Linked DNA regions of Struthio camelus. The protein of the gene in region 2 interacts with the protein of the main gene of each other region in a pairwise test. Links are inferred from orthologs where the notes say so. Each region holds a gene or a part of one and is shown on either strand. Other genes may lie near its edges.

Evidence for each region.
Region 1: the proteins of MYOD1 (region 2) and ID2 interact in a two-hybrid assay, tested with the Homo sapiens proteins (2 studies listed by BioGRID). The link is inferred for Struthio camelus from reciprocal best matches to the Homo sapiens genes MYOD1 and ID2.
Region 3: the proteins of MYOD1 (region 2) and ID1 interact in a two-hybrid assay, tested with the Homo sapiens proteins (5 studies listed by BioGRID). The link is inferred for Struthio camelus from reciprocal best matches to the Homo sapiens genes MYOD1 and ID1.

What each region holds. Positions count from the first base shown.
Region 1 is NC_090944.1:25,477,728-25,484,366, forward strand, and holds ID2 (DNA-binding protein inhibitor ID-2), read right to left. Parts: upstream 2,786-6,639; 5' UTR 2,649-2,785; coding exon 2,301-2,648; intron 1,994-2,300; coding exon 1,937-1,993; 3' UTR 1,929-1,936; intron 1,225-1,928; 3' UTR 580-1,224; downstream 1-579. UniProt on the Homo sapiens protein: Transcriptional regulator (lacking a basic DNA binding domain) which negatively regulates the basic helix-loop-helix (bHLH) transcription factors by forming heterodimers and inhibiting their DNA binding and transcriptional activity.
Region 2 is NC_090946.1:20,186,306-20,193,284, reverse strand, and holds the start of MYOD1 (myoblast determination protein 1), read left to right. Parts: upstream 1-3,886; 5' UTR 3,887-4,059; coding exon 4,060-4,620; intron 4,621-5,985; coding exon 5,986-6,064; intron 6,065-6,681; coding exon 6,682-6,929; 3' UTR 6,930-6,979. UniProt on the Homo sapiens protein: Acts as a transcriptional activator that promotes transcription of muscle-specific target genes and plays a role in muscle differentiation. Together with MYF5 and MYOG, co-occupies muscle-specific gene promoter core region during myogenesis.
Region 3 is NC_090959.1:18,479,557-18,485,617, reverse strand, and holds ID1 (DNA-binding protein inhibitor ID-1), read right to left. Parts: upstream 1,404-6,061; 5' UTR 1,365-1,403; coding exon 1,023-1,364; intron 780-1,022; coding exon 738-779; 3' UTR 526-737; downstream 1-525. UniProt on the Homo sapiens protein: Transcriptional regulator (lacking a basic DNA binding domain) which negatively regulates the basic helix-loop-helix (bHLH) transcription factors by forming heterodimers and inhibiting their DNA binding and transcriptional activity.

The DNA.
Region 1 (6,639 bases), on a different chromosome or scaffold from region 2:
TTGCATGGAAGCATGAAAATTCCAGTGTGGAAAGGCAACAGTCACTTCATCATTCTGGATCCCATGTTAACGCATCACCAACTCTTGTAGTCAAAGCCTTTTTTACAGAAATTTAATAGTTGGGGAACTAATAACCACCCACAACCCTTTAATTCTGAGTGATTAATCTAAACACATATTAACAGATCTGGGGCATTGCTACTGAGAACTGAAAGTGAATCATCCGTTGGGGTTAAAAAAAAAAAAAAAAAAAGTCACACTCTGGGGGAATGTCTATGGATTAACTGCTTTTGTGTGTGTTTCCCAACACTTTGTCAATAGCATCCCCTCTGTAATAAATTACTTCACTAGTTCCTTTCACACTGTTTATCAGCAAATCATCCAGCAGTTTGAAATATACACTCAAATAAGATTTTCCAGGTTACAAGAATTATTATTCACTATAGGTAATTTTATTCTTTATGTTCTCTACATACTTGAACTTTTACTCAGTAAAATCATAACAGAATGTATAAGTATTTAAAAAACAAATCAAAGCCACAAACCGCTGGTCCCCAAAGAATAAAAGCAAGCAATCAGTTCAATAAACACACTTGATTTATTTTGTATAAAAAGGGTTAAGTTTACAACTAAACTTTTATAAAAAGTTTAGCATGATTAAGTACATCATTACACTTTTTGCAGAAATTTACATTTCTGCCACTATACAAGAAAACTCTAATTAAAGAGTTCACAAGGTTTCACTCATATATATATATTTATATATAAATATATACACAGCATTCAGTCCTAGGTTTGTGTCAAAAAAGGTAATTTCTGACCGTAGACTTTCCTAAAAAACTGAACACTGGATCCTTCTGGTACTCACGCTCCACCTTTGGAAAAAAAAGGCAAAGTCTGCTTAAAAGGGGCAACTCCTCGTGAGATTTTGTTTCGCTCCCCACGTTGGGAATAGTATATAAAGGAAGCCTTCCAACTAGGGAAAGGGTATTTAAGAGTCTCTTCATAAATAACTAGGTTCAGTCCAAGTTGAAGAATGGGGTGGGGATAAAGATCAATCTTGATTTTTCTTCTTTATTAATTTTAAAAGGTCCTTTTACAGTTAGATGTGGATTCCCCCTCCAGATACAGCTGAAAAATAAATTCAGCACCTCAAAAAAAAAAAAAATCCTGTAGACATCTTCTTGTGCAAAAAAAAAAAAAAAAATCTCATCAGTGGAACACCTGCAAAAGATTGAAAAGAGGCGTATTTAGGAGAATGCTAACAGGGCAGAGATCCGGACAGACTGGCGCCAGAGAGGAAGCCACAGTTTGAACATTTAACCAAACACTCAAAGATTGGGCAAACCCTGGCGTCCAGATGCAACACATACACGCTCACACACTCACTCTCAAGAGCTCAAATTGAACATTAAAATAACATACACTCAAGGGAAAGGACAGAAAGAGGATTCTCAGTCCAATCTCTATTTAGATCTCTGTAAATGCACTGCTCAGAGGCGCCAGTCTGCCTCTTACAGCAATTATTTGATAAAAAGCAGTCATTTATTTAACTGATAGTGTAGACAATCCCACATGACAAAATTTAAGAAATTGTGCCAAGATTCCCAACTTAATCAGTCACTCTGGCCTGGGAAGTTAAGACTTCGGGAACAGATAACCAGAGAATTGGCATTAAGCGGTGAGTAGTATCAGAGCACTCAGTCCGGGCTGCTTAATTATTCTTAGAGACCAAAATATACTTTGGACTATCAGGCTCGATTATTAGTCTAAATTTTATGGTTGGATTGCTGGTTATAAAAGGCATCTCCTAATCAGCTTTTAGGATAGACTTCTTTCAGACAGCAACAGCCTCATAAACAGAATTTTTCCATTCTAAATGGAAGCACTTTCATCTGAAGGTTAAAAATAAGATTCCCTTTACTCACCGTTTGATTTAGCCACAAAGTGCTTTGCTGTCATTTGACATTAGTTCTGAGGGGAATTCAGATGCCTGCAAGCAGAAAATACAACAAAACAGAGCAGCGTTAAATGCCTTAGCAGTCGAAAAAGCAGAAAAAGTACTCTGGGTCGTGAAGTTCTTCGCTCATGACATGTTTTGAGAGAAACTCACAACGATGGCTAGCAGAGGTAGTGGCAGTTTTGTTGGAGTTTCCGTACGTTTTAATGTAGTGCTGTTTCTTCAGTAACCATTGCTCGGGGTGGCCGCGTTCTGCGCTCAAGACAGTTCGAACACTGACTTAAAATACCGTATCTAGGTCAATGGACAGAGAGGGGGTAGCTGCAGGGAGGCCACTTACCTGTAACGACAGGATGCTGATGTCTGTGTTTAAGGTGGTCAGAGGAGTTCTGGAAGAAGGATTTTGTCCGGGTCTCTGGTGATGCAGACTGACAATACTGGGATGTGAATCTAAGGCGATCTGCAGGTCCAGAATGTAGTCGATAACGTGCTGCAGGATTTCCATCTTGCTCACTTTCTTGTTCTGAGGGATGCTGGGCACTAGCTCTTTCAGTTTGGAGTAGCAGTCATTCATGTTGTACAGCAGACTCATAGGATCATCCACGGGGGTTTTGCTCCGGGATATGCCTAGGTTGTGCTCCGAGAGGCTGTTTTTCCTGACAGATCTCACAGGACTGAAAGCTTTCATGCTGAAGGACGGACGGAGAGAGCGGTTCCAGCGCACAGAAACACTGTGGGAGCTCGCTCTCCGCCCGCTCGCCTGCCTGCCTGCCTGCCTGCCTTCCCTCTGCCTCGCAGCTGCCGGAGCGCAGAATGAAGCGCTCGCCTGCCCGTGCCGGCTTTTATACCGCAGGCGCAGGAGCTGCCAAATCCAGCCTGTGCTCGCTGCCATTGGAGGCGACCGGCATGTCCATCAGGCCCCGAGACGCTCTCACTGGTACAAATGGGAGCGGAGCGGCTGCTCGGGCCTTCCGCGTTGAGAGCCAATGTGGGGAGGGAGGTGTGGCTGCGCCCGGCACAGCTGAGGGTAGTAAATACTGTACAGTAGATGCCGAGCCCGGCCTCGCAGCGAGCGTTTTGCAAAGGCGCTTAGGGGGGGATGAAACGGGCATTTTCACATTGCGGTTGCGGAGCTCGGAGTTCGGTCACAAAATCCCTCAGCCCTCTCCCTCTGTGCTTCTCCCGCTGGTATAAAAGACATCCCCCCCGACTATTCTCCTCTCTGTTTTGCAGAGTTAAAGTAGGAATAAAAAAATGCTGCAAGGGTAAAGGCTGAGAAAGAGAGGCTGGGGTGAGTGTGCGCAGATTATTAAGGGCAGACGCTGAAGGAGAGAGGAATGCGTTGCTGTAAGCAGTCTGTGTGGACAACGTGATACAGCTAGGTGAGAGTTACTGCCACAACAAGGTGTCGGCGAAGGCTGAGACGTCCTGAAAGTCCCTTTGAATTAGAGTACCAAGCAACTCTTCAGAGTGCCTGTTTGAAAATACGGCTGCGTACATCAATGGGCAGGCTCAGTAGCAGAGCGCTGTAGGCTCCAGATGTAGGCAGATCTAAGTGTGAAACGTAAAGACAAATAAACATATACAATCAACGGGAACTTTCTTCTCTGACGACAGGACACTGCTACAAGGCTGGCAGCTCACAGAGCCCTGACAGACTAAGAAGTCACTGTTTGCTTGCCGTTTCCTGAGGACAGGGCTATTTTAAATGATGCTATTAATTGGAGATCATTAGGCAAATGTGCATATTGAAAGTACATTTGCATGTATTACCCTTGAAAGGCTGTTCATCTGCATCCTATCAGTGCGTGTGACATGTTACCGTAATTAATTATGCATAGATTGTTTCTGGTGACAAATGTGAACACTTACTGCACGCTGTACTTTTTGCGGCTTTTGGTTGCAGCCAATGAAACATCTTCCAGAAACATTCCAGAGGAAAAAGTTGGGGGTTTTGTTTAACTGGAGAAATGATTTAGATTTTTTTTCAAGCTTAGGTCAATTGCATTTCTCTGTATTTTGCTCATACCAACTGCTCTGCAACATGCCAATGTCCTCCCCCCCCCCATCTTTTCACATGACTTAAACTTAGAAAAGCGTACATTTCCATACACGATTAATATGCATGGTATTCTACTCAACACACAGCAATTCTGTAATAACCTCCTGAATGCTTAAAGTGCCTTGTTCTTTATTTCAAACAACAGCGTAGACATGACATCTATAAAATCAGTTAAGATTGTACTGCCTATCGTGACTATTAAAAGCAGACAAATACTGGATTTATCTGTGCTGTTGTTGCATAGCTACACTAAACGAATTGGGGCTGTGGGGGAGGAACGTTACGGACCCTCGGAGAAAAAGCTCTATGGAGATCGGTGGATGTTTTTCTCCAATTAATGTTGCATTCCTTAGCTGGTGTTTTGCTGTTCTCTAACAGGACATTTTGGTGGCCGTAACACAAGCTTATTTGCCCCAGGGCTTTTATCGGAGGGTGGACGGTAGGCGGTGCTGAGGCTGACAGGAACACAATTCAGTCATTTTGAGATGTGAAGGGTGAAAGTGAATCTCTACGTTCAATCTGATAGGAAGACAAACACGTTGTTCAAGTGCAGTTAAAGAGCGTAAATAATAATAAAAACCACCCTGTCAATTAGCAACTTGATTAAAATAACCCGCTTTACAGCAGCTTTAATTCTTTTGTACTTTACCTCACTAAAATCTCCATTTAAATCATATCTGCCACTCGCTTTGCTGCCACAGGTTTTAGCCCTTCAGCGTGTTTGTATTTCTGTCTCATGAATGCACCAGTGGAAGAAATTTTATTTTGACACTATTTTTGGCATAATAATAGCCAATGTAAACAAGTATGTTCATGCTTCTTCCATCATTATTTGTCATTCTTGGACAGTGAAACAATGTTACAGTAACGTCCTTCTAGTCTTTGCAAAGGACGTGTTTGCAACTGGTTTCATTTTTCCATGCTAAGGGCTTAACACACTTTTTAGAATAGTGAGGAGTTATATGCAGAGCGGCTAACGTGATCATTTTCTCGGCTGTCAGATGATTGTAACGCGCTCCTTCTGCGTGGAAAGTACAATTTGTGCATGTGTAAACTCCAGGTCTCCTAAAGGCAGATTTTTCTTTTTTCCGTAAAATTTCATTCCCTTCCTTGCGTTCTTTTAACCTTGAAAGGTTTTGCAGTGGGTTGCTCGCTCTGAAAACGACTCTCTTTGCTCTCTAACGCACGTAATGCAAACTGTTCTAGCAGCCCTGCGTTTTGTAAGTGGTGCGGCCCCTGACAAGGAGCTATGCGAGGAGGCTGATGTTTTCTGGAGGGAGTCGCAGAAGCCACCGCACCACGGCTTTGCGCTGCTCTTCAGGGGCAGCTCCAAGCGCGGCCCCAGCGGGCACCGGCACGGCCCTCCGGCGCCAGTCCCCCCAGGACGGACGTCCGCCTCTAGTTTTCAGCCTGGACTTTTATAGCCAATTCCCAACCCCGAAAGGCTGCTGCAAACATCTGGTAGGAAACCATCGCCGCTGGCAGCGCACAAAGCGCCGTTTCTCCTCCTCGCCCTCCCTCCCCCCCCCCCCCCAGCGCCGCGCCGCCGCCAAGCGGCACCAACGCGGGGCGCGGGGGCCCCGCTCCGCCCCGCCCCGCCCCGCCCGGGGGGCAGCGGCCGCCCCCGCCGTGGGGGGCCCCGGCGCCAGGCCGCGGCGGCGGCGGCGGCGGCGGCGGCGGCGGCGCCCCCCCTGCCCTGCCCTGCCCTGCCCTGCCCTGCCCTCCCCTCCGCGGCGCGGCGCTCCGCTCCGCGCCCCGCCCCGCCGCCCCGCGCCCGGGCCGGGCCGGGCCGGACTGCGCGGCGCCAGCCCCGTGACATCAGCCCCTCGCCGCCGCTCCCCCCGCCCGCGCCGCCCGGGCCCGGCGGCGCCGCTCAGGCGGCTGCCATGGCGACCGGGGCTGAGCCCGGGGCGGCGGGAGGCGGCGCGGCCGGGCCCCGCTTCCCCCTCCCGGGCGCACCTGCAGCGGGGGCAGCGGCCGGACACCACCTCCCCCCTCCCCCCTCCCCCCCCGGCCGTGCGAGCTGGGCTCCGCGCCGCCGCCCCGCCGCGCCGTTCCGCAAAAAGAGGGAAAAAATAAAAAGCGCGCCCAGATGGACGCGCCGCTCGGCTCCGGCCCGGGCTTCCCCGCCGCGCCCGGCCCTCGGCGCCGCCCGCGCCCGCGCAGCGCTGCGGGAAGGGCCGCGGCCGCCCCGGGAGCCCCGGCCCGGCCCTCCGCGGGTGGCGGAGGGGGAATGCCCCCCTCCGGCTGCCTCGTTTTCCCTTTGAGAGAAAACGTGCGTTTCTGCAAAAGGGGAAGAAAATACACTTGGGGAAAAAAAAAAAACCTTTTTTTTTTTTTTGCACGGTAGGATTTTCTAGGGAGAGCATCTGGATTGCATAATACTCCAGGTTGTGGCTTTGTGCGCTTGACACGAATCCTGGGAAAATGGGGTTCTCAACCCCAGCACGCCCGAGTCGATTATCCTTCTCCCTCTGAAGGGCCTGCAAGTTCTTGCGTGCATCGTATCCTATGCTTTTAATGAAATTTATTTATCTAAAACATCTAGTAATAATGTCAATGGGTTTAATTGCCATGTATTTAAGCCATCAAACTAGAGTAAAAAAATCTGTTAAAA
Region 2 (6,979 bases):
CCTTCCAGTCAGCTCCTACAGGAATGCCTCTCCTTCTCTACATTGACTAACAAGGTCACCTAGGAAGAGCAACTGGCTAAATCAGCTGCCTGGAACTAGGTTCTTAAGTCGGTATATACCACAGCTTTTAGGCAATTTGAGTTAATCTTTCAGTGGAACAAACCCCAACTTTTATGTAATACTGTAATCAATGTTTCTGTTGTTAAATTTGAAAATAAATTCAGTTCAATGTAAGAAATAATGCAGATGCAAATTTTTAAGTTTTCCAAATATGCATGCTAATGTTCTTCTCCAAGAGACTTTGCCTATTGACAAAACTGTGCCAGAGTCTATCTGCCCCCAAGAAAGTTACACAAGATAGAAATATACACCACAAAATGAAAACAAACATATTGGAAAACTGCATTAAGGTAAAAACACTGCACAAGGAAACACTAAGTCAATTTTGACTTCTACACACGGTAGCATTAAGTACCTATTTCTGTAAAGCCACATTAGCCCACCTACTTTCTGCTGATGTTGTAACACAGGACAGACAACTACAATTCAGATGTTTTCCCAATCCCTTTCTGTTAATGATTCAGCTTTATGGTGACGGGTGGGGAGGGAGGAAATCACATTGAAACTTCCCCTCTATGCTCCTTTTTAAAAAAAAAAAAATTACTGCAATGTGCTACATGAATGGTTTGAAGCACTTCCAGCAACATACTGGATTTGCCTATGTTGGGATGACTGGCAGTAGTTTAAAAGATATTTCCATCTGGGCTAGATTGCAACACCCATCCGCATGCTGAGCATACCTTATTCAACAATTAGTTTCCCTGACTCTAACTCAACATGAATAAGAGCAATGGAATCCATCCTCAGTATTAAAATATAGCTCATTAAGTATGAATGGAGCAAAAATACTCATTGAATAATAAACTAGTGTCATAAAAACCCTTCAAGTATTACTACTGTTTCTACAACAATCTTCTACTTTGACAGTTCTTAACCTTCTGAAATATAGGTATAGCTTCTTCCACAGTTTCCAGCACTTAGACCCTCTCTCTTTACCTTAACAGAAGTCCAATGTTTAAACTTTACAGTGCACAACTTACATACGTGGCAATATTTCAGGGAGAAAGAAGCAGCAAGTTTCTCAGAGATCCACTCCTCTGGTCTTCATCTTTGTGGCAAAATGTGTTGGCACGTTCTCAGAATTTTAAGTCCTTTGTTTCTCACTTTTCCAAAACACCTTCTGGGCCCTCTGCCTACAGAAAGAATTCTGTTAATTTCAGGTAGAGAAACTCCCAATCAGTTATTTTCCCAATCTTCATCCTCTGAAAAAGAGAATTAAATCAATTACTATAGATAACCGAAGTTCTTTTTGTGCATATGCTGCTTCTGCTGAGGGTGTGCACATGCTCACGCATGTGACCTCAGGGACTTTGTTAACAATACCTGTACATCGTGTATAGGATGAGTGTCCATGTATGCTCCTCAGCATAAGCAGTACAATCTGCTTCCCCCGTCTCAGCTTCCTTTCCACTACACCCTGAAAAAAAAAGGAGATGAAGGACGAAACGTGCAACAGGTATATAGCACCATTTAAAGTAACCATAAGAATCTGCTTCCTCTGCTGAATGCGTGCTCATATGCACACCCCTGCAGGTGTAATTCCACAGCAATGCCCAATCCATCCAGATCCAGGATCTGGGAGGCTTAGAAGAGCCATAGAAACACCAGTACTGAAATAGAGCATCCAAATCAAAAGCTTTGGAGAGACCTAATCTCTACTGAAATGATGAGTAACAGCCACAGTGGCTTCCAGACAGACACTTAACAGTAGCATGTTTCTAAATTCCGCCATAAGCACGATCTAAGGCTGCACAAATGGGGCCCTTGCTGTTGCCTAGTCTCAAAATGAGGAATTCATTAAAATACCTAGGGGAAGACCATGCTGTCCTTCATCCTCTCCACTATGGCCACCCTAAGTTGAGAAGAACACCTGTGGGTTTTGTTCTTTGCAAAGACTCTCAGACTCACAATACAATGCAGCCTCTTTCTGGACCAATCCATCTTTGGGAAGAATACTGGAAAGTGAATGTTGGTTTTGGTAGCGACCGTGGGGGATGAGTCTTCAAAGGCACCTTCAGTAGAAGAACACTCCATGCAAACTATACCATCTGGTCATGGCTCTCTCTCCTGACTTTTTCACCTAGGTGACAAACCGAGATATGCTTTTACTAACCCATGTCTTGGGACACATGCATGCTGCCACAGGTTGAAAGAAGAGACTCCCTAGAGCGTGCAAGCGCTAGACTGCATTGCATTGGCAGTTACTTGAAGTCTTTGTGTATCACTTGTCCAAGTCCCAGCCTTTGTTACTGCTTTGCCCAAGGTAACCATTATTTGCACAAGTCCCAGAATGCCTTTTTCTGGGGTCAAGTATAATCTAGAAACACACTTAAAGTGGCAGAATATCCTACAATGCTGTGTAAACATCACGTAGAATTACCTTTTCCACAAATGAAACAAGTAAGCTACAGAGAGATGAAGTGTCTTGAGCCAAGTAACGTGGCCAGCGCCAAAACCAAGCCTTGATACCCAATGTACGCGTTTAGCTGTTATAGCATATAACTATTTCTCACTTATACTTAATATGCATTACTGTATTATTTTCAATACAAATTGTTTTTACGGTGTTTTAGCTGTTCAGGAGAGATTTTTCAGAACAGCAAAAGCTGTTCATTCCTTCTGGATCAAAGAAACCTCTGTAACAACAGCGGAGGGTTTCCACAAGGTTGCTACTCTGCCTCTCAGAGCAGCTGGCAGATACACTTCTCAGTGTGTTAGGGTGGTCAATAGCTGATCTCATTGGGACGTATCACTTTTCAGCATTGGATACGGTGAAACAACAAAGTTGTACAGAGTCCAAAATATCTACTTTTTCCTTTAAATAAAAATTTGATCTTTGGGGAGTAACGATAGGACGTGACTAACAGTTATCTCTGCCTGTACGTGAAGACGTGTAAGCAAGTAGACCACGGGGACTGCAGACTGGGAAACCAAATCACGTAACTAGCAATGAACACACCGTTACAATGACCCGTCTGAAAAGTCACAGGCGCAGGAACTGAGGACTAGGTCACCAGTTGATATTTTACCTTTACAGACCCTTCTAAGCTGCCCTTTAGCCCATTGAGGCCAGAGCTTTGCCTTCGATTTTAAATAAGTCAGATTTTCAGCAGCCTCTGTAAGGGCAGAGTGGAGATTAATCTTAGCCCATGGCAGATAAAAACACCCGTAACTATTTTAATCATTAAGTTAATGAAATCACGCAGCTGAATTGCTGGAGTGCTTCCACACCACAAAAAGAGCTCAATTTCTCGGCTCGAGCGATATTCCCAAAACAGCGCAAACACTCTAGCAAGACCTGAGAGACGTTACCCCCCCCCCACCCCCCCAAAACACGTCCCGTGTCTCTAGGGCCGCGGCTCTGCCATCGCCGAGTTACCTGAAAACAACGCACCCTTACCGCGCAAGCAACCCGGGCCGTCACCACCTCAGCCAGCCTCCGTCTCTTCCCGGGCCGCGGAGCAAACGCGACGGTCTAAGTCCGTTAACGCCCGGGGAAAGCGGGCCTCGACGGGCCTCGCCGACGGGCGCACCGACCGCGGGGCCCAGCGCCCCCCGGCGGCCGCCGCCCGCTCTCGCCGCGCCTGCCTGCACCGAGGGGCGGGCGGCGGGGCGTTAAAACCACACGCGTTTGACACCGCCCGGCCCCCGGGATGGGGGGGGGGGGGGAGCCGCGGCCCCCTCCCCGCCCCGCCCCGTCCCGCCGCGCCGCGCCGCCCGGGGGGCTCCGGCATAAATACGGCCCCGAGCGGCGCTGCCGGACCGGCGCGGCGCGGCGGCGGAGGGGCGGGCGGCGGCAGCGCTGGTGGCCTCGCCTGGCAGAGGGGAGCCGCGGGGCTCCGCTCCGCGCCGCGCGCGCCGCCACCGGCCGTCAACGGCCGTCAACGGCCCGAGCGCGCTTTCCCGCCCTCGGCCCCGGGCGGCGCCGCCGCCGCCCCCATGGACTTACTGGGCCCCATGGAGATGACGGAGGGCTCCCTCTGCTCCTTCTCGGCCGCCGACGACTTCTACGACGACCCCTGCTTCAACACGTCGGACATGCACTTCTTCGAGGACCTGGACCCGCGGCTGGTGCACGTCGGGGGCCTGCTGAAGCCCGAGGAGCACCCGCACCACCACGGGCACCACCACGGGCACCCGCACGAGGAGGAGCACGTGCGGGCGCCCAGCGGGCACCACCAGGCCGGCCGCTGCCTGCTCTGGGCCTGCAAGGCCTGCAAGAGGAAGACCACCAACGCCGACCGCCGCAAGGCGGCCACCATGAGGGAGCGGCGGCGCCTCAGCAAGGTCAACGAGGCCTTCGAGACCCTCAAGCGCTGCACCTCCACCAACCCCAACCAGCGCCTGCCCAAGGTGGAGATCCTCCGCAACGCCATCCGCTACATCGAGAGCCTGCAGGCGCTGCTGCGCGAGCAGGAGGACGCCTACTACCCGGTGCTGGAGCACTACAGCGGCGAGTCGGACGCCTCCAGCCCCCGCTCCAACTGCTCCGATGGCATGGTGAGTGCCCCCGCCGGCGGACAAAGTCCCCTTCTGCGCCTCCACCTCCGGCGGCCAAGGGCGGTGGGGTCCCCCCACGCCAGCGCCCCTGGAAGAGAAGGGAGAAGTCTCTCAGGCGCTCCTTCCTGGGGATGAGAAGTTGGGCAGGTTTCCCTGGGTCCCGGGGAAAGCTGCTGGGGGACCGCTCTGGGAAGGGCGCCGGGAGCGCCGAGAGGTGCGAGTCCTGCCCGCGCTCCCGGGGCATCTCCGTTTCCATCTCCTGTACCCTTAGCCCTGCGTCCCCTAGGGACAGCTGTGAGGGAGGTCCCCCCTGCCATGATAACTGCAGGGGAAAACTCACAGGGGAACTGCTAAGTCTGGGTTTTCTTTTCTGACATTAGTCCTGATAAGAGGAGCACGGTCTGAGCAACAGGAGTTGCTTTTCTTGACCGTTATGAAAAAGGTTCTCCCCCCTCAAGACATTTACCAGCAACAGGAAGGAGACCCCAGGCTTTCACCTCTGTTTGTGCATTATGGGGAGAGGGGAGAAGAAGAGCGAGTGCCAGAGAGGGTGTCTCGTCACCTAATTTCTTTCTTGGGACTATAGTTTTAGACTCCGTGGCCTGACTCGAGGATGGTGGGATGTGGTGACTGGAGTACAGGATAGCTGAGATGAGAACCACAAGAGCACTTTTAAGACTTCCTGAGTTGGCTATGTTCTCTGGTGGGGATAATTATTACTGAGCTGAATATCTGGGATTGTGAGATAGCTGGCAGATCGGGGAGAAAATTTACACAACTGATCCCTCCTCAAAATACAGCCTTTTTTCTCCTCTCGGTAAGAGCCATGTAACTGTGGGTGGAAGTACCAGAAACAAAAATACTGGTCAGAATGCTTGCTTTTTTTTCTCTATACAAAGTAATAGTGGGGAGAGAAACCAAAGGAAATAAAAAGGCACAAAGGTGGACTAGTGGGTTTTTTAAAGGAATTCATGCTTGGAAAAGTCTTCAGAAATTAAACTGAAAAAAGACTTTTCCCCCCTTGGTCTCCCTGCTGCAATTCGAAGGGCAACCTCTGATTAGAACGCTGGAAGACTTCACTTCATTTGAAAAGCTACAGCATTAGTACATTAGTTACAACAATGGTAATTTTCCTTTAAAATAACTATGCCACATAATACATTCTGGGGGGAATTTCTTCCTAGCAAAGTTAAGCTCTGCCTCATTCAAAAAAACTAAAACTTGGTGGTGTTTCAGCCAGGACTAGAGAGCTATGGCACAGACTAGGGTCTGAAGTGTGAAGTTAAATAGTTACTGGGGAGGAAATATTTGAGGAAAATGCTGTCCCCCCACTGGTGATCTCACGCAGATTTCTCTCCTTTCCAGATGGAATACAGTGGGCCTCCTTGCAACTCCCGCAGAAGAAACAGCTACGACAACAGCTACTACACGGAATCACCAAATGGTGAGTATTTGCAGTAACGGCAACGTGAAACATAGGGGTAGAGACGGTCAGCGCAGCAGACTTGCCTGTGCCTTCTCTGTCCCCGGTTGTTTAGCAGACTCCGGCTGGGCTTTTCAGCCAGCGAGCTGTCGATGCTAGTACATGTATAGCATTTCCCTCTAGATGCCTTTGCAAATATGGGAATATAGTATAGTGGCATTTCCTACTTTGCAAACATAGTGTCTGGATAAAAACATATTGGAATATATTCCAACAGTTTTCAGAGTTTAACTACATTTTGCATAAGGATTGTTCCAACCGGATATCACTGATCCAAACCATGGAGAAATTGCCAATTGAATTCAAATCTTCCATTCCCTTTCTATGGACTGAAGTGAAGCCCTGCACCCATCCTCTTGAAAAGTATCATACCTCAGTTGGGCCTTTTTTCCCATTCTGCAAATTATAGTCTCTGTTTTCTGATAACTGGCATCTTTCACCAATATTCCTTTCCTCAATCTTAATATGCTCACAGATATGCCCTGTCAGCCACTGGTTGGGGTTCTCTGAAAAAACTACAGCCTACTGACATTAAATACCCATTGACTAAATTGATCACCTCTTCTGTCTGTCTTTAGATCCAAAGCATGGGAAGAGTTCTGTTGTTTCTAGCCTTGATTGCCTCTCAAGCATTGTGGAGAGGATTTCCACAGATAACTCCACATGTCCAGTCCTGCCCGCAGTGGAAAGCGTTGCTGAAGGGAGTCCCTGTTCCCCCTCCGAAGGAGCCAACCTGAATGAGAGTGGAGTCCAAATTCCTTCCCCCACCAACTGCACCCCGCTTCCCCAGGATAACAGCAGCAACCCTATCTACCAAGTGCTATAAAGGCAAGTCCAGCTGGACTGCAGTGAAAACAAACTGTTACATGCAGTAAA
Region 3 (6,061 bases), on a different chromosome or scaffold from region 2:
GCCAAAAGGCAGTGACTCACAGTGACTTTGCACGAGTCACTGAACCACTGCACTGGCCCAGCTGGGAAATTGTGCAAGGCCAGGCCCATGCTGCTCGGCACACGCCATGGGGCAGCACCAGCCCTGGGGAAGCCAGTCTGGGCTGGCACCTGGCTGCACCAGCACCACAGGGCTCATCAGGGAGGGCACAGGGACGCCCAGGGTGCAGGGCCAGCCCCAGAGGCACCCAGGTGGGGGGGCAAAGCCCCAGACCTGGCCCCCTCCCACCAACATGCAGGGTGTGCCTGCCCACAGGGCCAAGGGGAGAAACCCCAGCAGCATCCCCCCATCTGCAGCCCCAAGGGGCACAGACACAGGGGAACGGGGTGGGGTGGGGGTACAGGGCAGTATCCAGGCAGGGGATCAGCAGAGCTGGGCTGCTTCCCAGACCCCAGGGCTCCCACACCCCACGGGGCACCCTGCCCACGAAGGGCTCCCACCGCCTTCGCGCTCCGTGGGCGGACAGGGCCAGAAGAGAGAAGCGTGCCTCGTAACCAGGGCTTGTTTAATAACAAAACTCCAACTATTGTAGAACAATATTCTCCAGCATCATTGTAATATACAATACAGGGAATGCTCTCAGCAATCTGAGAAGGATACGTGCCGCGGGGCCGCCCTCGGCACAGTCCCACGGCGGGGGGCGCGGGCTGCCACCCCCTCCGGGCCCGGGCCGGGTCCTGGCAGGTCCGGAGCAGGTCTCAGCGGCACAGGATCCGGTCCGCAGCGGGCATGCACGGAGCCTGCGGGAAGGGCGACAGGGGGCCGGTCAGTGCTGGCTTCGGGAGCCCCGGGGGAGCAGGGCGGCAGGGGAGAGCGGCCCCGGCTGGGGGCTGCTGAGCTGCCGCAGGTGGAAGGGGCGCCCACAGGGAGGTGCAACCCGCCGGGGAGGACGGCGGCGGCGCTGGGGGGCCCGGCGGGTTCACCCGGAGCGAGAGGGGTGTGAAAGCGACCGGGAAGGGGAGCGGAGCCGGGGCCGCACTCACCTCGGGGGGGTCCCCGCCGGGGGCGGCGGCGCAGGGCGGCCCCCGCTGCAGCGCCAGCTGCAGGTCCCAGATGTAGTCGATAACGTGCTGCAGGATCTCCACCTTGGAGACGCGCCGGTGCCGCGGCAGCGTGGGCACCAGCGCCCGCAGCCGCGAGTAGCAGCCCTTCATGTCGTAGAGCAGCGCGGCGGCGGCCGCCGCTTGCTCCGCCGCCCCCGGGGCCGCGGCGGTCGCCGCCCCCGGGCCCGGCCCGCACCGCGCGGCCTCCCCGGGCCGCACCGCCTTCAGCGCGCCGCCGGCGCCCGCGGGCAGCGGCGAGGGGGCGGCGCTGGCGACCTTCATGGAGCGGCGGGCAGCGACCGGCGGCAGCAGGACCCTGCGGGCGCGGAGCGAAGCGCTGCACTCCCGCCGCCCCGCGCCGCGCCACTTATAGAGCGCTGCGGCCGGGGGCGGGGCCGCGGGGCCGGGCTGTGGCCAATAGGAGCGCCGCAGGGCGGGGCCTGCCCCGCCCCCCCCCCCATTCATGAGCCCTGAAGGGGACTGTGTTAAAGAGACAGTGGCGCTGCCCCGGGGAGGAGCGGGTAGAGGCTTGGCGGGGGGGCGGGGGGGGGAAGGTCGGGCCGCTGCCCGGGGGTCACCGGGGGCCACCGGGGCACGGAGCACTGGGGCGCACCGCCTGCGCGGACACCTTTCCCCGCCACGGGCCCCGGGCCCTGGCCCCCCGTTCATGGGGCTGAGTTACTCTGCGTTCCTGGAGCTCGGCCCTGGTAGCAGAGCTGCTGCGGCAGAGGTGCCTCCAAACGCCCGGCTACAGCCTACTACGGCCGCCCCCGGGACCCTGAGACCCCCCTGGGCTCCTCTCCAGCTGGGCCCCTCCAGCCCGCGGACCCCTGCACCACCCCGGGCCCAGAGCCCAGCTCGCCCTCCTTCAGCCCCCCAGGCCCGCTGCAGCCCCCGGGCCCTCTGCAGCCCATGGCTCTCCCCAGCACCGAGGTCCCCTGCACCCCCGACCCACTGCATCCCCCAGGTCCCTGTATTCCCCAATCCCTACCCCCCCGGCCCCTGCAGCCCATGGCTCTCCCCAGCCCCCGGGGCCCTGCACCCACCAGGGCCAACATCCCCCAGGCCCCCTGCAGCCCCAGCTCCCTGCACCCACGGCCCCCTGCACTCAGTCCCTGCAGCCCATGGCTCTCCCCAGCACCGAGGTCCCCTGCACCCCCCAACTCCTGCATCCCCGACCCACTGCATCCCCCAGGTCCCTGCATTCCCCACCCCCTGCACTCTGGCCCCTGCACCCCATGGCTCTCCCCAGCCCCGGGAGAGCCCCTGCACCCCTGGCCCTGCACCCCGGATGCACTGCAGCCCCCAGGTCCCTGCATTCCCCGCCCCCTGCACTCCGGCCCCTGTACCCCATATCTCTCCCCAGCCCCAGGGTCCCCTGCACTCCCCAGCCCCCGCACCCCTCCCGGGCCCCCCGCAGCCCAGCTCGCCCCTTGCGGCCCCCCCGCCTCCCCGGCGGCTCAGACCGTTAGACGCCAGGGCCGTGACGTCACCCATTCATAAAACCCCGCGCGCTGTCAGCGCGGCGCCTCGCGGGCGGTGCCCATGGCGACGGGGGCGGGGCGCGGCGGGCGGCGGGGCTCGGGCCCCCCCGCAGCGCTCCCGGCCCCGGGTTCAGCGGGAGCCGCCGCGGGGCCGTGCCGGGCCCGGCTGGGTGCCGGGGGGCGCCCCCGCTCCCCCGACCCATCTTTGTGCAGCGGCTGCAAACGCGGAGCTGGGGCGGGAGGTCCGCTACGCCGTCCTGCGTGGCCGTGCCGTGCCCGGGGCCGTGCGGCACCGTGCCATGGCTGCGCCATACCGTGCCCAGGGCCGTGCCGTGCCCGGAGCTGTGCGGTACCCATGGCCGTGCTGTGCCCATGGCCGTGCCCAGGGCTGTGCCGTGCCCGGGGCTGTGTCGTGCCCATGGCCGTGCTGTGCCCGTGGCTGTGCCCAGAGCTGTGCCATGCCCGGGGCTGTGCCGTACCCATGGCCGTGCTGTGCCCATGGCCGTGCCCAGGGCTGTGCCGTGCCCGGGGCTGTGCCGTGCCCATGGCTGTACTGTGCCCATGGCCGTGCCCAGGGCCGTGCCGTGCCCGGAGCTGTGTCCTACCCATGGCCGTGCTGTGCCCATGGCCGTGCCCAGGGCTGTGCCATGCCCGGGGCTGTGCCGTACCCATGGCTGTGCTGTGCCATGCCACAGCCGAGCCATGCCTATGGCCATCCCTGGGGCTGTGCTGCGCCTGGGGCTATGCTGTGCCCACAGCCGTGCCGTGCCATGCCAGGGCTGTGCCACGCTCGCTCGGTGCAGGCTGCAGGTGCAGGGCAGCGCTGCCCTCCCGGCGCAGGGTGCCTCCTTGCCCCAGAGCGTGGGAGTCACCTGGCAGCTGGGGCCCCGCCAGCGCTTGGGCGCAGCTCTGCCGCCCCAGGCGGGTGGCCCCGTGGGGCGCTGGTGCCCAGGCCCCGCCGCGTGCCGCCTGCTGAGCCGCGGGGCCGCGGCGGCTGTGCCCGGGGCTGAGCCCCCGGCAAAGGCGACTCGTGCGGGGCAGGCCGACGGCGGCGCGCGGCACGGGCGGTGCGGGGCCGGCAGGAGGCCAGGCCGGGCGAGGAGGTAGCATCTGCGCAGCTGCAGCCTCTCGTGCAAGGCACAGCGTAAGACGGAACAGAAAACCAGTCCCTGCCCTAAAGGGCTTCCGATCCAAGCATTAATTAGCATTAATGATCGTTACCTTATCTTCGCACCTGTAGGGAGGTTCATCCAGGGTCTCGGCTAGACAGGAATGACGGGGCCGGGGCAGGAGGCAGCGGCGCCCTGGACCGCAGCCTCGCCAGCCGCGCATCGCGCAGCAGCCCCCGCGGGGTCCCGGCCCCCGCCTGCCGCCCGGCCGGCTCCACGCCGCTCGCGCACCGTGGCTGCTCGCAGGGCTGTCGGCGCGCCGAGCGGGCAGCCGGGGCCGCCTGGCGCAGCCGCCCCAGTCTTCCCCCCAGCCGTGCTGCAGAGGCCCCCCCCGGCCCCTCTCCACCCCCAAACGGCATGAAACAGCGCGAAAGCAACTGAAAAATCTCCAGGCAAAGTGGCAGCCCTTGTGCCCTGTACACGCGCCCGGATGCACACGCCGAGGCACGCGCACACGCCTGCGCGCCCAGGCGCCCTGGTGCACGGCCACGCACAAACGTGTGCACGCGCACACACATTCACGCACATGCACAAATCCAGCGGTGCGCACACACACACGTGCACACACACTCCCCCCCCCCCCCCCCCGTGGCGTGCCCGCGTGTGCCGGGCGAGCGGGAGCAGCTCCCCTGCCCCTGCCCGCGTGGGGCCGCGGGGCCGGCTGCGCCGCAGCTTTGTTAGCGGCAGCAGGAAGCAGCGACGGCCTCTGCGGCGAACAAAGCCGGCGCGGGGCTGGGGCGCCCGGACAGCGCGGTGCCAGCCTGCGCGCCCCTGCCCCGCGGCTCGCCACCCGGGGCCCTCGTCACCCGGGCTCGCCGCGGCCGCAGCAGGGCACTGCAGCGGCAGCGGCGCGGGAGCAAGCTGCAAGGGCGCGGGGCGCGCAACGCTCCGGCACGGGGCACGCAGGGCCCCAGCGCGGGGTGCATAACCTCTGGGTTGCATAAACCCTGCGGTCTCTGGCTCAGCCTGTGCCGGGCCATCTGGGGGGACCACATCCCTCCATCCCTCTGTCCCTCCATCCCTGCATCTGTCCTGCCCTCCATGCCCCCTCCGTCCATCCCTCTATCCCTTTGTCCTTGCATCCTTGTCCCTGCATCCCTGCATCCCTCTCTCCCTGCATCCCTTCACCTCTCTCGCCCTCTATGCCCCCCTCCCTGCATCCCTCTGTCCCTGCATCCCTCTGTCCCTGCACCCATCTGTCCCTGCATCCCTTCACCTCGCCCTCCCTCTGTCCCCGCGCCCCCCCGCCCGCGGTGGCGCCGGCGGTGGCGGTTCCCAGGGTGGGCACAGCCCTGGGGTCGCCCCCTCCATTCAGGGCCCCGCGGAGAGCCTGGTGCCTGGCCGGTTCCCACAGAGGCAATCAAAGCCGCTAATTAGCCCCCATCTGGCGGCGGCGGCCCCCGCGCACGGAGGCGCGCGGGACATTGTGTGCAGGAATGCCTTTCAGCGCCGCCGCCCGCAGCTGCGCCGCCAACAATGCGCCGCCGCCGCCGGCCCCGCTCGCCGCCTCCGGCCGCCTCAGATCCCCCGCCGGCCGCTCGGCGCGAATTAGCCAGATGTCAAAGCTCGGGGCCCCGAGGCCGAAAGGTCAAGCCCGGCCCCCGGGCTGGCGGCCGCCCCGGCGCGCCGCTCCGGCCGGGCCCGCGCGCAGGGAGCACCGAGCCGCAGGGGCCACGGCGGCTGCTCCGGCCCCCGTCCCGCTCCCGGGGCCGGCTGCTCCGGGGCGGCGGCGGCCGAGGGCCCTTCCTCTGCGCCGTGCCGGCCGCAGGGAAAATCCGAGAGGTGGTGGCGAGGCCGGGGCGGGCGCGCTGGCCGCGGGAAAGGCGGCCGGGCCGGCCGCGTCGGCCAGCAAGACGGATAGCTTCATTTCCATGTCAATTCTGGGAACGGGGCGGGCGGCGCGGTAACACCGGCTCGGCCATATGGCGCTGGCACGCGGCTGAGCCGCCGGCCCGGCCCGGCCCGGCACGTCGCGGCTGCTTTGCGCGGCGCAGAGGTTGCCCGGCAGCCGCCCGCAGCAAAGGCCGGGCGCTCGGGGAGGGCAGCGCGCCCCGGCCGCCCGGCGCGGCCCCTGCCCCGGCTCTGGCCCAGGCTCGGGCTCGTCCTGCCGCCCTCGGCCCGGCCGGGCGCAGCGGGGCGCCGGGGAAGCCCCGGCCTCGGCCCCGGGCGCCGCAGGGCCGGCGGGCGAGCGGTGCCGCAGATGCGAGCGGGGCCGGCGGCTCCTGCCGCGCAGCTGGAGCAGGGCCGAGGCCTGAGAAAGCCCCTGCGCGTTCCCCTCCCTCCTCCTGCCTTCCCGTCCCCGGCTCCATCCGCTCCAGCCCAGACC